Linked DNA regions of Drosophila melanogaster. The protein of the gene in region 2 interacts with the protein of the main gene of each other region in a pairwise test. Each region holds a gene or a part of one and is shown on either strand. Other genes may lie near its edges. The genes, in order: Gabat and CG6659.

Region 1 (3,923 bases), on a different chromosome or scaffold from region 2:
TGCAGCTTCTTGCTGAAGGTCACCACATCGGGAGGACTCTCCAACTCGAAGTGCTCGTGGGCCCAGAATTTTCCAGTGCTACCTCCACCGGTTTGGACCTCATCGATCAGAAGGGCGATGCCATTCTTCTTGCAAATAGCCTGGAGGCTCCGAAAGAACTCGGGCGATGCCTCGTTGTCGCCTCCTTCGCTCTGAATCGGTTCAACGACGATTCCGGCAACCGGATTCTTGCTGGCGTACTGCTGAATGAGATCCTGCACTTCGCTAAGGCACTTTTCGTCCTCCTTCTTGTTGTGCGCCACGTTTTCGTCCAGGGGATATCGATACTCGGGAAACGAGGCAATGGGCCAGTCGAAAGATGGAACGTCCAACTTATGGATGTACTTCGAATGTGTGGTGGACAGGGCTCCCAATGTTCGCCCATGGAAGGCTCCCTTGAATGAGAGAATACTGAGTTTCGGGGCTCCTGGGGGAATGTTAATCATGCAGGAGTTCTTCTCCTGCTCGGTAAGAGGTGCATTACCACGAAGTTTGTTCTGGTACCTGAAAACGAAATATTTGCAGCACGTTACAGCATTCCAACAGGGTTTAACTTTAATACTTAAAAAGGCTGAAGAATGACTAAAACTAAAGACTTTAGTACTCACCATATGAAGATGCTCTTGTAGGCATTTTCATTCGAGCATGAACCACACATCATGGTTGTGATTTTATTGAGTCCTTTCGGAGCTATGTTCAAGAGAACTGAGTGCAGTTTTTCCGGCCATTCCTTGCCAGGGAAGACACCAAGTGCAGGTCGGTTAATCAATGCTGGAAATAGTCAAGGATATAGTCACATTATTCAACATGGGAGTTATGTGGCTAAGATAAAACAATATCTTAGGGTTCTTCAACTACATATATGTATGTAGTATATGATATAACTTCTTACTTTTCAGGTTTTGCTCATTGTTAAAGACCTTGTAGAGCCTCGGATGGTTGTAACCCAATGGAACTGAGGAAATCTGGGTGTAGACATCTAGTAGAATGTTGCCATCCACGTCGTAGATGTAGTTTCCAATGGACTTCTCGTAGTCAGCGAAGAATTGGATCGTTCCGGTGGCCTATAAAAATGCAATTCGTTTTGATTAATAATGAATAGTTGAAAAGTAAGACACTAGGGGGCTATCTCTAAGTGGGCATATGGCATATGGTCTGATTTGAGAACGAAAAGTGCAATAAATATACATATTAATGTGCTTGTGGCGAAAGTACAATATAACCCTCACAACCCAGATAAGGCCGAAGAAACTCACCTGAACAGAATCCAGTTGCTTCTTAAGCTCAATCGATTTGGGGCCAGGTATCGATTTGGTTTTCACTACAGGCTCCTTGGGCTCAACGTTGGTGGAGTACCTCTTGGTACTCAGCCTATATAGACCTACAAGGATACCCAATCAGTTCCAGATTCGCTGGAGCTTAAGGATTTTCATTAGCTTACTCTGCTTGGTCAACGTATTTAGCCACAAGCTCCGCATGGTTACCGTCGATTTGAGTGCTCCGGGGTTAAGTGAAGGAATTGCTCAATAGGAGGGCTCGTTGCTGGCCACTAATACTTAGTTAATAAAGAAAACGTATATATTTACAGAATACAAACATAGAGGCTTTTATGTATGCGGGCATATACACCTATCCATATTCTTAAGCACAACCACATTCTCCCAGTTCGGATTTTATCAATTTAACTTTTGGAATCATCATGGTTCTGCGTCAATTACATATTCTGCAGTGAAAGTAAACGAAAGTTGAAAAAAAAACCAAACCATATTTTGCTCTGCGGGGCTCCATGGTCTCCTATTGAAATGAAGATTATATATCATAGTATTAGCATTTTCTATATATTTTCTTTTTCCACATTAAGCATATCTTATTTTTCAAAACAAAATTATAACAAATATTTTAACGAACAATAGGCCTTGACCAAATTCTCAACATGCATTATGCCATAATAAAATCTACTCTGGAGTTATCAACAAAATATCTTCAAAAAGTGGTAAATTTAAAATTAAAAAAAAAAACTGAATTAAGTCGTCAGCTGTTTCACACAACGGAAGATATGCATATATGCGAACAATTTTTTATTTAAGTAATTACAAAATAAAAGTAAAAAAAATAAAAAAAGAAAATTAAAAACATTAGTTTTGGAGGATAGGGATTTTAAGCGAATAATGCAAGTTAAATAAATATAATACAAGAAGTGAGCTTACGATTATTTCTTAGCGTATTATAACTTGATCCCACAGTATTTCTGAATAAACTAAAAAAAAATACATTTAAATCTCTTACTTAAAATTAAATAAATATCCCTTAGCAAAATTTAAAAAAGAAAACAGTGTTCCAGTCCGCCGTTTCAAATTAGTGCGAAACAAGTGAAAAACATGAAACAACAGTAGTTGTAGGCGATATCGATTTTTGTTTTATGTAAATCGATGGCACATGCGGAATGTAAAATAAGACCAAGTTAATACAGAGGATTTCCGTAGTAATATGATTGAAATGAACAAAACTGCAATCGGCATTGCAGCGGGAGTAGCTGGAACTCTGTTTATTGGATACTGCATCTACTTCGACAAGAAGCGCCGCAGCGATCCCGAGTACAAGAAGAAAGTCCGTGAGCGTAAGAATCCCCATTGCGCCCCAACTGAATTATGAAAGAAACTCATCATTTCATCACTTCCTAGGTCGCCGTCGCAACAAGAAAACCGGCACTGCCAAGTCTGGAGTTCCCAATCTGAACGACCATGAAGCCATCGAAAGGTAGGACACTCCCATGGGAGTCGCATTATATAATGTGGCACGTGTAGTGGTGCCTGGCGATTCAATACACCTCCATTCAAACAAACAAGCCCACATATGTTTCTCCAGCCAAATCGATGTACATATTTTATGTGGAGTCCCATTACACTTGCGTGTTCATCGTGTTGCTGCTTATTGCCTCAGGCATCTAAAGACTCCACTGCCTTGGATTAACAAGCACATTTCAGTGTTTGGATTCTCAGCAGGCTTCCTGCCAAGAAATTCATAATTTGAATATACAAATAGTTATTATTGTTGCAACTGTGCACAATTTATATTATTTATATGCACCTAATTTGCCTGGCATTAATTTAATTCGTAATAGTGTGCATCGAATCAGCTGTTCCAAACTAATTAAACCATGATATTTGCAGATATTTCCTTCAAGAAATCCAGCTGGGCGAGACCCTGATCGCCCGCGGAGATTTCGAGAGTGGCGTGGAGCACTTGGCGAATGCCATCGTCGTGTGTGGCCAGCCGGCTCGTCTGCTGCAGGTGCTGCAATCCTCCCTTCCAGCTCAAGTATTCGCGATGCTGATCGTCAAGATGCAGGAGTTCGGCAATCGAGCGGCCGAGGGCAACGACGGGCCAATCGTTTTGGGGCAGAGCTCGGAGCAACAACTGGACGGAGCCAAAATTATAGAGTGTTCATCTGGAAACGCAAGTATCGACGACCTCGAATAGTACTTGGAGATGGCTACAGAAATTGAGATATAAATTTCAACAGTAGAAATTAAGGGCTTCACATATAAACATTATATTTTTTTTATATATTGATTTCTCTGGATGTTCCCAATACATACAAATAAATATGCGTAAACTGTTAACACTTAACAATTGAGCTTTGTTTTGTGCGTGGTATTTACGTTAGGCGAATATCAAAGATCAACTCTGCAGACCTAAATGTTTTGCAATATGTATGTATAACAGGGTATGTGTTAAAGTGTGTGAAAGTTTATCAACAATAAAAGATTATTAACATGTTGAATATCTTGGGAATAAATACATATATCTCCTAACCGGTTTGATAATAAAGGTATTCCAAAGTTTCTTTGGTATTTAAATATAAGTGATTATTTATAGGAAAA
Region 2 (3,923 bases):
GCGCTGCTCTTCGGTGAGGGCACTTACTGGGGCGCCGCTCTTGCGCCAGCGCCGGAAGAACATGGCCAGCATGACCACGCCGTACATGCAGTACGGCTTAACAATCATCGTCTTGACCAGCTGCCACAATTCTGACCAGGCGACGCGCGCGTACTGCGGATTGCAGGCGGAAAGGTGGGCGACAAAGCCGACATTGACCTGCAGAGCCCAGTGGGCACATATGTCGAAGAAGTGCTGCTGGTCGCCTTCCGTCACACTGACCACGCCAGCCCGATTGAAGAGCTCTATCAGCGTGGTCTGCACGCTGCTGGCGAGCAGCAGTGTGAGCATGAGGAACTTCAACGAGAATAAGTCGCCGTTCAGCAGATCCTGCGCGTGTCCCAGTCGCCGGCTGCGCACGTGACGCAACTGTCGCACCATTGTAATCAAAAATAGGAACAGCGAGATGCTCAGCTGCCAGGTGAGAAGCAGCTGGCTGTTGCCGTGCGACATTACAAAGGCGAGAGCGTGGCCCAGCAGGTGCGACAGCGAGTAGTCCAGCACGAAGGCGTTGACCAGAGCCGTGGGCAGCGCGCTCGCGTTCCAGGACGTCATCATGATCAGGATCTGGGTGGTGAAGATGAAGGTGGAGAACTGCCAGGAGAGTAGGGCGCAGGCGGTGAAAAGCGACATGGCGAAGATCTTCGAAGGGCAAAGATGTTACTGAGCTTAATGCAATAAAGCACACCTATTACCATGAACATGCGAGATGTGTGCCGCTGTCGGTGTATGATCCTTCCGATGCAGATACACAGATAAAACATCTGCAGGAAAATGAACGGAAAGGCGAAGTTCTCCCGCGCCAGCGGCCGCTCATAGATCTTGGCCACGAAGCTGTGGAACATCAGGTACGAGATTACGCCGTATATGCCACCGAAAATGTTCTCGCTGAGCAGCGTTCCGTACAGGTAGAGTACCAGCAGGGTTACCCCGCCCATCAGCCACACGAACTCCAGATAGAACTGCATCGGTTGCACCATTGGATTGAAGCCGGAGCGCACTACGTGAAAGAAGTACCTTTGGGGAGCGAAAGTGCATCTGCATTAGTGGACTTTTTGGGCATCACTCCTCTGGCAGTCACTTACGCCGTGACCAGCTCCGGCAGCACGTAGAATCGCTGCAGCACATTGACACTGTGCGGATACTCGATGTCCGTGACGTTCTTCAGCTGCTCGTAGCCGTGCCAAAAGTCCGGCCCTTCGGCCAGCTGCTTGTAGAAGGCATAGTACAGGGCATCCTCGCGCCGCAGAAGCGCCTCCCGCTCCAGCTGATTGAGCTGCTGGATGTTGGTGCGCGTCTCGAAGATCACGCGCACATGCTGCACGTATAGGAAGAAGAAGCCGCAGCCTGGGATGCGGATTGGAATTGGGAGTGTGGTCAATGGCAGTGGGAATCCCCAACTCAATTAGACTGCCGCCTGGAAGCGGAAGAGGCGTGGCAGAAGTGTCTGCCGGTTGGCGGAAACTCACCGATCAGCGCGTGCGACAGGATCACGTACAGGTTGGGCTCGCGCATCGTGCTGCGATTGTGGGTGTCGTCTCACTGGGTGGCTGTGTTCAAATTGGCAATCATTATTTATTTCACAACGATTATTCCTGGCTCCGCACAATAAAAACCAGCCAGCAATCAGCTGTTCTTCGGCCGTGCTTGTCTAGGGTGACCGTACCGAGTTGCTGTCAAAAGGGTCATTTGTGTTGGTTTGGTCACACTGAATTTTAGGTACATTACGATATATAGGTACATACCTATAATTAGTTATATTATCTACTGCACTTTTGGAATTTTTAATTATTTATATTGCATATCATTTATTGCACTTATTAAGTAAAAATTTGTACATTAAGAAATATATACATATAAATATTTATAATATATAATAATATATAAGTTAAAGTTCGTTCCAACTTTTATCACTTAATAAATGTTTATTCGCAGATAATACTAATACCTACTGCCACAGATAAAAGCGCAAACTAGTCTTGTATTTGTCTTGGATTGTATCATGATCTGGTCTATATAGATTTTTAGGTACAATTGCTGTCCAGCAAAAGCGTCATTTATCAGAAAAGGAACCCTGTATGAGCAATCTAGTATTTTCATATACCTACGTACCGAAGCCGAGTTCCCACCTCGGAGTCAACCTGCTACGGTCATACCGCACGCACTTCAGTGGTAATCACATCCCAATCCGCAGCAAAACAAAGAATAACCATGAACCGCTACGCGGTAAGCTCGATGGTGGGGCAAGGATCCTTCGGGTGCGTATACAAGGCGACACGCAAGGACGACAGCAAGGTGGTGGCCATCAAAGTGATCTCCAAGGTGAGTGGGGCGGGCCAGGTGATAAAGCAACAAGTCCATACAACTAGTTCACACCATATTCATGTTCTGCAGCGCGGAAGAGCCACGAAAGAGCTGAAGAATTTGCGCAGGGAGTGCGACATTCAGGCCCGGCTGAAGCATCCGCACGTCATCGAGATGATCGAGTCCTTCGAGTCGAAGACGGACCTTTTCGTGGTCACTGAGTTCGCGCTGATGGACCTGCACCGCTACCTGTCCTACAATGGAGCCATGGGCGAGGAGCCGGCACGTCGGGTGACCGGGCATCTGGTGTCCGCTCTGTACTACCTGCATTCAAACCGCATCCTCCACCGGGATCTCAAACCGCAAAACGTGCTGCTCGACAAGAACATGCACGCGAAACTCTGCGACTTTGGACTGGCCCGCAACATGACCCTGGGTACCCACGTGCTCACCTCGATCAAGGGAACGCCCCTCTACATGGCCCCGGAGCTGCTGGCGGAGCAGCCGTACGACCATCATGCGGACATGTGGTCACTGGGCTGCATAGCCTACGAAAGCATGGCCGGTCAGCCGCCCTTCTGTGCCAGCTCCATCCTGCATCTGGTGAAGATGATCAAGCACGAGGACGTCAAGTGGCCGAGCACGCTGACTAGCGAGTGCCGCTCCTTCCTACAGGGCCTGCTTGAGAAGGACCCCGGTCTGCGCATATCCTGGACGCAGCTGTTGTGTCACCCCTTCGTTGAGGGACGCATCTTTATCGCAGAAACGCAGGCGGAGGCGGCCAAGGAATCGCCTTTCACAAATCCCGAAGCCAAGGTTAAGTCGTCAAAACAGTCCGATCCGGAGGTAGGCGATCTGGACGAGGCCCTGGCCGCTTTGGACTTTGGCGAGTCGCGACAGGAAAACTTGACCACCTCCCGCGACAGCATAAACGCCATTGCTCCCAGCGATGTTGAGCATCTTGAGACCGATGTGGAGGACAATATGCAACGTGTGGTCGTTCCCTTCGCGGACTTGTCCTACAGGGATCTGTCTGGTGTTCGGGCAATGCCGATGGTACACCAGCCGGTGATCAACTCGCACACTTGCTTCGTCAGTGGCAACTCCAATATGATCCTCAATCATATGAACGACAACTTCGACTTTCAGGCTTCCTTGCGGGGCGGAGGCGTGGCCGCTAAGCCAATAGTCGCTCCAACCGTACGCCAGTCGCGCAGCAAGGATCTAGAGAAGCGTAAGCTTAGTCAGAATCTGGATAACTTCTCTGTTCGCTTGGGTCACAGCGTCGACCATGAGGCGCAACGCAAGGCCACGGAGATTGCTACACAGGAAAAGCATAACCAGGAAAACAAGCCTCCCGCTGAAGCAATTTCCTACGCAAATTCTCAGCCCCCGCAGCAACAGCCACAACAACTTAAACACTCAATGCATTCCACCAATGAGGAAAAGCTGAGCAGCGAGTAAGTGGCCACTGCGCCTCATAGAATTTCTTTTACTAACTTTCCCCTTTCAATAACAGCAACACTCCGCCGTGCCTGCTCCCGGGGTGGGATAGCTGCGATGAATCCCAAAGTCCGCCC

The links.
Region 1: the proteins of CG6659 (region 2) and Gabat interact in a two-hybrid assay, tested with the Drosophila melanogaster proteins (one large-scale study listed by BioGRID).

Annotation. Positions count from the first base shown.
Region 1 is NT_037436.4:19,998,641-20,002,563, forward strand, and holds the start of Gabat (gamma-aminobutyric acid transaminase), read right to left. Parts: upstream 1,987-3,923; 5' UTR 1,948-1,986; intron 1,834-1,947; exon of another isoform or gene 1,803-1,833; intron 1,763-1,802; 5' UTR 1,518-1,762; coding exon 1,481-1,517; intron 1,421-1,480; coding exon 1,296-1,420; intron 1,104-1,295; coding exon 932-1,103; intron 811-931; coding exon 648-810; intron 544-647; coding exon 1-543. Other genes in the region: Tom20 (translocase of outer membrane 20), read left to right, coding at 2,527-2,656, 2,721-2,796, 3,210-3,519.
Region 2 is NC_004354.4:18,655,590-18,659,512, forward strand, and holds the start of CG6659 (uncharacterized protein), read right to left. Parts: upstream 1,698-3,923; 5' UTR 1,555-1,697; coding exon 1,509-1,554; exon of another isoform or gene 1,387-1,508; coding exon 1,125-1,386; intron 1,057-1,124; coding exon 735-1,056; intron 682-734; coding exon 1-681. Other genes in the region: fu (fused), read left to right, coding at 2,251-2,361, 2,434-3,803, 3,863-3,923. UniProt on the Drosophila melanogaster protein: Probable C-mannosyltransferase that mediates C-mannosylation of tryptophan residues on target proteins.